Nothobranchius furzeri: one gene and its partner. The protein of the gene in region 2 binds, or shares a complex with, the protein of the main gene of each other region. Links are inferred from orthologs where the notes say so. Each region holds a gene or a part of one and is shown on either strand. Other genes may lie near its edges.

The links.
Region 1: lamtor5 (region 2) and lamtor2 share a complex: the UniProt entries of both Homo sapiens proteins name them as parts of the ragulator complex. The link is inferred for Nothobranchius furzeri from reciprocal best matches to the Homo sapiens genes LAMTOR5 and LAMTOR2.

The regions. Positions count from the first base shown.
Region 1 is NC_091745.1:61,225,396-61,229,325, forward strand, and holds lamtor2 (ragulator complex protein LAMTOR2), read right to left. Parts: upstream 2,670-3,930; 5' UTR 2,453-2,669; coding exon 2,385-2,452; intron 1,923-2,384; coding exon 1,760-1,922; intron 1,675-1,759; coding exon 1,585-1,674; intron 1,023-1,584; coding exon 966-1,022; 3' UTR 524-965; downstream 1-523. UniProt on the Homo sapiens protein: As part of the Ragulator complex it is involved in amino acid sensing and activation of mTORC1, a signaling complex promoting cell growth in response to growth factors, energy levels, and amino acids.
Region 2 is NC_091755.1:27,982,138-27,986,403, reverse strand, and holds the start of lamtor5 (ragulator complex protein LAMTOR5), read right to left. Parts: upstream 2,807-4,266; 5' UTR 2,700-2,806; coding exon 2,665-2,699; intron 2,585-2,664; coding exon 2,523-2,584; intron 983-2,522; coding exon 865-982; intron 1-864. UniProt on the Homo sapiens protein: As part of the Ragulator complex it is involved in amino acid sensing and activation of mTORC1, a signaling complex promoting cell growth in response to growth factors, energy levels, and amino acids.

The DNA.
Region 1 (3,930 bases), on a different chromosome or scaffold from region 2:
CTCCAGGTTTGGGTGATTAAAATTTTTATTTTGAAAGCTGAGACTTTCTTTATCTGGCTGCAGGTGAGAAAGTATATTTGATGCTAATGCCTCAAGAGAAAATCACTAACTGGTATCAATTAAAACTCATTAGTTGATTAAATGGAGTTAAACAGAATGCACATGCACTCGTGAGTTTTCTTAGCTTTTAAGTTACCCAGATCTTCTGACTTATTAAAAAAGGTTTTGTTTTTAAAGTATTGGATACTGAAAGAGTGAAAAGTTTCATCAGATTTTTGTGAAATCTGTGATTACTGAAAGAAATAAAATTATCTGGTGATGAAACTCAAAGACAAGCAAGGTAAGCTTCTCTAAACCCGCAAATTCTCCCTTTCACAAGATTTTCAGAGCAAATTTAAGTTTATCTCACCTGATACTGCATATTTAAAATTGTTTAAAAACGTTCAGAGGTGTATACGAGGGTGAAACACACCCAACCGTCACCAGCTCAAAGCAGGATTTAAAAGAATGGGTGACTCTGAGCCAGTATCTCTCATTTATCAAACAACCTTGACATAAAACACAAGTAAATAACAATCTCAACTGCATTTTTCAGAAAGATTCATATAAAATCTCCACACACGTTTTTATCATGATGTACATCTGTGACTCCTAAAAATGTTCAGTTTCACATTGAACAACAAAACTATGACCGAATGGACCGATTCCAAGTGAAAACTGAAAATGGAATCACATTTCAGCTGTACACACACACACACACACACACACACACACACACACACACACACACACACACACACACACACACACACACACACACACACACACACACACACCCCTCCATTTAGAGACATGGCCCTTTGTACACTTAGTGTTGGACAGGAGGGTTACAGCAGTCCACCGATGACCTGAACAGCTGATTTCTTCTTCAGTTCAGACCAACAGAAGCGTTGGTCGGATCTTCACTACGATGCGGCCACTTGAGTCAACGGTTCCTCCAGATACTGAACCAGAGCCTCTGCCTACAAACACAATAAAGCACAATTACTGGAAAAGATTAAATCTGGTACGACCTTTAAACTGATCAGAAACTTCAGCCTCAGTTCAGATTTAGCTGGGTTCTCCATGAGCTGCTCTAGCTGGACAAACCTGATGAACCTCATCCACGTGCCTCCCTGGGTCACTCTAAAGGACTTCCTGTTTTAAACAGTGGAACAGAAGTCTAGAACCACTCAGCACATTCCTCAGAAATACTAAAAGTGGTTTAATCTGTGTTTAAATGATTAGTTTCAAATGATTTGCACATTCAATGGTTTATTTAATGATCTGCCCTTACATTTTAGCCCTTTAAGTATAAAACGTTTTAGTTAAGACTTACGTTTAATATATGTGAACAGAATATGTCAATAGAAAGTGTTGAAAGGGTTAAAAGCAAAGTTAAAAGCAGTTTTCTTTGCCATCCAAACAACTGTTGTAAAATAATGCTTTAAACTCAATTGACAGAAGAGCTCCAACACATAAAATCTTTACCAATAAAAAGCAAAACGTGGGAAACAATTAGAAGAAAAGGCCCCGAACTCTCACCTTGGCTTTCAGCATCCCGAATCCCACAGTCTCTTTGGCATATATGCACAGCAGCAGGTTGGCTACACGAGTGATGGCCACTCTTCCCTCCTTAAAAAAAAACAAATACACAGAAGAAGGTTACAATTTGAGGTCAGCCTAATGTTTTAGCCTGAATCGGAGCTGTGTTTCTCACCATACAGTCCATGAGGATGAAGGTAAGCTTGTCTTCGTTGAAGGCTTGGTGGCCATTCTTGTCGTAAGCTGCCCAGATGTTGCTGGCGATGGCAGCTGTTACGCGTGCATCGGTATCTCCATAACCAGAGTAAGCCAGGAGGGAACCTTCATTATTCAGCAAGCTGAGAGGATAAACACGTGACACATACTAAGACAGCCTACTCATAAGTTATCTGTGTTGTTAGAAATAATCTTGATGTATGTTTAGATGGTGCAGCTAATGCCTCATCATACAATTAACATTTAGAAAGGTTGACTATTTTAGACACTAATGTGTAAATTAGAAATATTTTATAAATCATCTCATTGAAATTGATCATTATAAACCGAGGTATTTGTTAGGATCTGTTGCAACAGCGTTCTAATCTGTGACATTATAAAAACAGCTACGATAAAAATCATTAAATGCGCAAGTTTTACATTCAAATAACTAAAATTATGTCTTTTAAGCATTAAGAGTTCCCAAAAAACAACGCTTATTTTTCTTTGGGCGAGCTTTCCTTGTACAAAAAACGATAAGCAGCTAAGAGTCAGAGTAAATAGCATCTTAGCATCTCGTTAGCTTGTCGCTAACTCGTACTTACAGAGTGCTCTGGACTCCGTTTGTGTTCGCTTGGCTGAGGACCTGCGTCAGAGCTTTGGGTCGCAACATCGCTGTCGACCTCACCAAAGAATAAAAACGGTTTTAATAATAATAAGAAAAAAACACGAAGTATTTTGATAGTATGTTGATGTACGTGAAGAGCAATGCGTCCAGGCAGTCAGCTGACTTGTCTTTCCGCATTTCCGGCTTCCTTCGCATTGCACTTTGGGAAATGTTGTCTCGCGGTCGTAACTAAAAAGGATTTTCATTGGCCGTGCTCGAGTTGATGGCCTCGCCTGGAAAACAGACGAGAGCAGACGGAAGCAGCAGGGGGAGTGGCTGAAAGCCGGCGTTTAGGTCGGACACAATTTCCTGCATGTGTAGGATGGCTGAAGATATCGCGTTAGAGTTACTTGTTTAATTTTCAATTTTAATTCTGGTGCCTGTTAGCAGCTGAAACACATCCTCACGTGCTTGTGGATATCATGTATTGTATATGAAGACATGATTGTAATAATAAGCAGTGTTGGGAACGTTACTTTAAAAAAGTAATTAGTTATAGTTACTGATTACTTTGTCAAAAAAGTAACTCAGTTACTAACTGAGTTACAAGATCATAAAAGTAACTAATTACCAACAAAAGTAACTACTTAGTTACTTTTTTCATTAAAGAATGCAAGAATTACTACAATAGTAAAATATAAATGACTAATGACTGAACATAATAAAATGTATGTCCAAATGTTTTATATAAACCTGAATAATTTAAACAAATATGCACTTAACAGGAGGAACTACTAATAGGAACATTACACTAATCTAGACTATTAAAAGGTCACTGTGTGATATTTAACAAGACCCCAATCAGCTAAAATTTAAAATTGCAAATAGAAACACCTGTAAAGGTTCCCGAGCCTTTAAATGGTCTCTCAGTCTAGTTAAATTACAGAAATAAATGTAATTTTGCACAGTATTCTAATTTTTCCAGCTTCACATAATTGTGTGTTTTTAGCAGCATTTCTGTTGCTGCTAATCTAGTAACGGTTAAATAAATAAATAAATATCCTTTAAAATGACACTAGAAGAGGCACAGATCTGATGGAGGACTTACATTTACTAACTTGGGTCAGACCCAACCACAGAAGAGCTGAAGCTGGGTGGTGAACACACACAGTTCTGATAACACCTGAGCTCCATGACGTCTGAGACTGATGCATCAGTGTTACAGCGGGACTAAAGACATGATCAGAAACAGGTTACAGCTGGATGATCTAGGAAGGTAGAAGATCAGGACGTCTGAGCGGACCTTCGGGACGTCCCGCTGTCACGCTAAGAAGGGCACGGCTGCAGACCCGCACCTGCAGCCGTAGATATTCATCACGTGTTCCTCGTTCTTCACGGGCCGTGACGCACTTGGATGAAAACATCTACCTCTTTAGCTCCTGATCAGCTGATGATAACAGCTTCAACACACCGCGCTGCTTCACGCACGCATTTTCTTATCAGTAACAGAAACGATGTTTTGATAAAAGAAGACGGTAATTAAT
Region 2 (4,266 bases):
AGTGGTTCATGGAACACTGAGTTCTGGCTGTGGAGATGATCAATCACAACCTAAAAATACTGTTTGAATATAACTGATGTAAAAGCTAAAATAAGCCTTGAATCGGACTCAAAACCGTTTGTATTTGTATTTATGTTATTTAGACTTTTGAGATAACAAATTATATCTGAGATTGAAAGTTCGCAGCAGTAATTTTAAATAAATAAATATTCAGGAGCTGTCATTGGGTTGGTAAAATGTTCTGAAAGACGAGATGTTCATTTACCAGAAGATGGCAGCACAACGACATAAATAAAATCCCACAGTTGGTTGACTTCCTCCCTCTCCATCCTCCATGGAGCCTCCGTCCACTAAAGAGGACATTGGCTTTTTAATTTTTTATTCTGTAGTTCAACTTTGGACCCGTTTTTAATGATGATGGGGTTATTTAAATGTCTACGAGGTTATTAGGGGAAATTAAAAAGGGCTTGGAGTCTCAAGAAAATATCTCAGCTGCCTTTTGGGAAAGAAATGAACAACATTCTGGAATCTAATGCCAAGAACCGAGCATGTTCAGTTCAAAGTCACAAATGGCATTGCCTTTGGTAAGTAAATAGAAACTGGAGGAACCAGATAAGCGTACTGGTTTTAGCAACCGCGATGAAGGCTCGGACCCGGATGCTAATAGCTGCTGGGAGACAGTGAACCACTGGATCAGATTCAGAACCCTGAGTCTCTGGTTCTGATCTCTCTCAAAAAGCTTTTTTTAGAGTAATTGATCTCCGTACACATTAATCAGAACCCCCAAAGGTACATCTTAAATACCCCGAGATAGATTTTTAAAAAGAATTACAAGTCAAGCTAAAACCCGGTCAGTGCTCTCACCCTGACTCAGACTCCAGGCACACGGTCGGGGTGACTGTTGGGTCTCTGGTGAGCGCCATAGCTTGTTTGGACAAAACAGACACAACACCACCATGTTCATCAGACAAGGAGCCACGACCTAAAAGAAAAAAGAAAAGAAACACGCAATGAATTATTTAAATGTCTTAAAAAAAGGAAATCAGTGCATCTTTCAAACAGTCATTTTCTGTGATTTGTGTTAATTCCAAACCTGTATACAACAATGACCTCCTTATGAAGGATTGTTAACATATTACAAACATTTCTGTCCCACTGCTGTTATTTAGTCCAGACTGAGGATTTCTGAATTCTGGGGTCTCTCGAGGATCTGAATCATGTTGAACTCATTGTTTGGTTTCTGTCTTCTGCATCTTTTGACTATTTCATTTAGGTTTGTCCATGTACCAGGGAAACATTGCTACTGACTACACAAAACAATACTCATGTTTACCCACTTCCAACAGTTACATCATAACCTTTTCAAAATAACTTTCAACAAGACCTAAAAAGATAATAAAAGTATGAGGACGCTAACAAAGAGCTTAGACTTTGCTGGATGCCTCTGTTATAAATATTAATTAAACCGAACAGAAAAAATATATATACTGATATATCCATCATTTTTCTTCCAATTATCAAAGTCTGGGTTGCTAACAGGTCCAGGAGCGAAGCTCAGATTTCTCTGATCTCAGTGACTCTCCATCTCCATCAAGACAGCTAGAGGGCAGACAGCCCCTCCAGCAAGTTCTATGCTCCAGCAACCGTCAAGCTGTGATTCTTCAGACCACATGATACCTGTCAGCTGCTGCAGGAGTCCTCTGGGAAGTAAAATAATTACTTTATATTATCATCAGTTGTTCTGCTTTGTGTTTCATTGCACAGCTGATGAAAATGGACTGGATATGTTCTGAATTCACAGCCTAAGTAAAATTTAGAGCATGTTCATCTCCCTGAAGTTTGATGAATTGTAGAAGAGATCAAAGTTCAAACTAAACCATGGAAGCCAAACAAGTAACACAGAATCAATTCCACGGAGTATTCACTTTCCCAATGACAGTAATTGTTGTATGTGAATAATGTTCATAAATGACCTCACTAACTAACTGCGTGGTTATTAAGCATTTAGTATTTATTAGTTTATGAGTAATAATCAACAATAAACAATTATAAGCATCATTTTGGATTGGTTGTGTTTAGAGAATTATAAAAACATTACATTTTAATTTTAATTATACCTCATTAGCCTTTGTGATTAAATTTAATTACAGCAGCTTCCTGTTGACCTGTTAAACAGCCAGAAGAGCTCATTCCATCAGAAATGCTAATCTCATTATGCTAACAGTGCAAACACTGTGAAGATTTTCTGGCATGTGAAATAAGTTGAGATTTTAATGGTTGAAATGTATGATTCACAGTAACTTCAACTATACTGTAGTATGTATTTCAACCTTTACAGATGAAAATAGCTAAACTGAAGGAAATAATATTATTTGTGTGTTACATTAATAGCTTTTGCTGCAACTAAGTTATTTCATTATTCAAAAAAAAAAGAACACGACACTGACGTAGCCTTGTAAAAGCTAACTAAACCGAATATGTTTCATACATTTTGCTGTAAATCTTTTTTAAATTAATCTTACAGCCCAGGTTGTGTCCTTGGTGATCTGTGCAGAGCACACCGACAACTGCTGGATTCTTCATGCTACAAAAAAACAAGGAGAAAGGCTTTAATGAAACAAAAAGTGAAGTACGTCAGCAGTTAGAGTGAGATTTTTAACGTACGTGTCATCGAGATGCTGTTCAAGAGTCGACTCCATCGTTAACAAACGAAAAGAGAGAAGGTTTAATTGTTTACAGTTTCATCGACGTTTCCGGTTAGAGTCAGCTGACCGTCACGTGCGCTACGAGTCACAACGAGGACCAAAAAGTGTGACGCGAAAGAGAAAGAGAGAGAGAGAGAGAGAGAGAGAGAGAGAGAGAACGCAAAATCTTTCCATTTACATTACATAAACAAAATAGGCATAGATAGATAGATAGATGATTGATAGATAGATAGATAGATAGATAGATAGATAGATAGATAGATAGATAGATAGATAGATAGATAGATAGATAGATAGATAGATAGATAGATAGATAGATAGATAGATAGATAGATGATAGATAGATAGATAGATAGATAGATTGATAGATTGATAGATAGATAGATAGATAGATAGATAGATAGATAGATAGATAGATAGATAGAAAGAATTAGCATTTTCCTTCAAGTTTTATTAAATTTTCCAATAATAATAATAATAATAATAATGTTATGGGCGGCACCACCTCATCCCCCGTCACACTGAACACTGGTGCACCGCAGGGGTGTGTGCTGAGCCCTCTCCTGTACTCACTCTACACCTACGACTGCACGGCCACGAGAAACTCCAACATCATTGTGAAGTATGCGAACGACACCACAGTGATAGGTCTCATCACCAATCACGATGAGACGGCCTACAGGGAGGAGATCAGCGCCCTGACCCACTGGTGTCAGGACAACAGTCTCACCCTCAACGTCACAAAGACAAAGGAGATGATAGTGGACTTCCGGAGGAGCAGAGGAAGCAGAGGAATACACCCCCCCATCACCATCAACGGCGACGCTGTGGAGAGGGTGAGCAGTTTCCGTTTCCTTGGAGTTCACCTGGCAGAGGATCTTACGTGGTCAGTGCACACGGAAAATACAGTGAAGAAGGCACAGCAGCGCCTCTTCTTTCTCAGAAGACTGAAAAGATTTGGCATGAGCCACCGTATCCTCAGGACCTTCTATTGCTGTGCCATTGAGAGCATCCTCACTGGATGCATCTCCACCTGGTATGGCAACAGCACCGCTTACAACCGCAAAGCTCTCCAGAGAGTAGTGCGGTGTGCAGAAAGGATTATTGGAGGTGAGCTTCCCTCCCTCCAGGACATCTATAAGAAGCGGTGCCTGAGGAAAACGGGGAGGATCATCAAGGACTCAAGTCACCCCAGCCATAAACTGTTCAGACTACTTCCATCAGGAAGGAGGTTCTGCAGCATCCGGTCCAGAACCAGCAGACTGAGAGACAGCTTTTTCCATCAGGCCATCAGACTGCTGAACACTTCACAGACACCTCACCCTCACTACTGAAACTCCAACATTACACATTCCATACTGTACATTAATGCCACTGTTTTGCACATACCAGCCTCTATATATTTTATATCTCTTATCTTATTGTTTACTTTATTCATTTGTATATTTGGATTAGCCATTTTTATATTTTACATGTTTTTACGTTACTGTATTTTTGCACAACTCTGTTGCTGTGAAGCTCGCACACAAGAATTTCACTCGCATGTACTGTACCAGTGTAC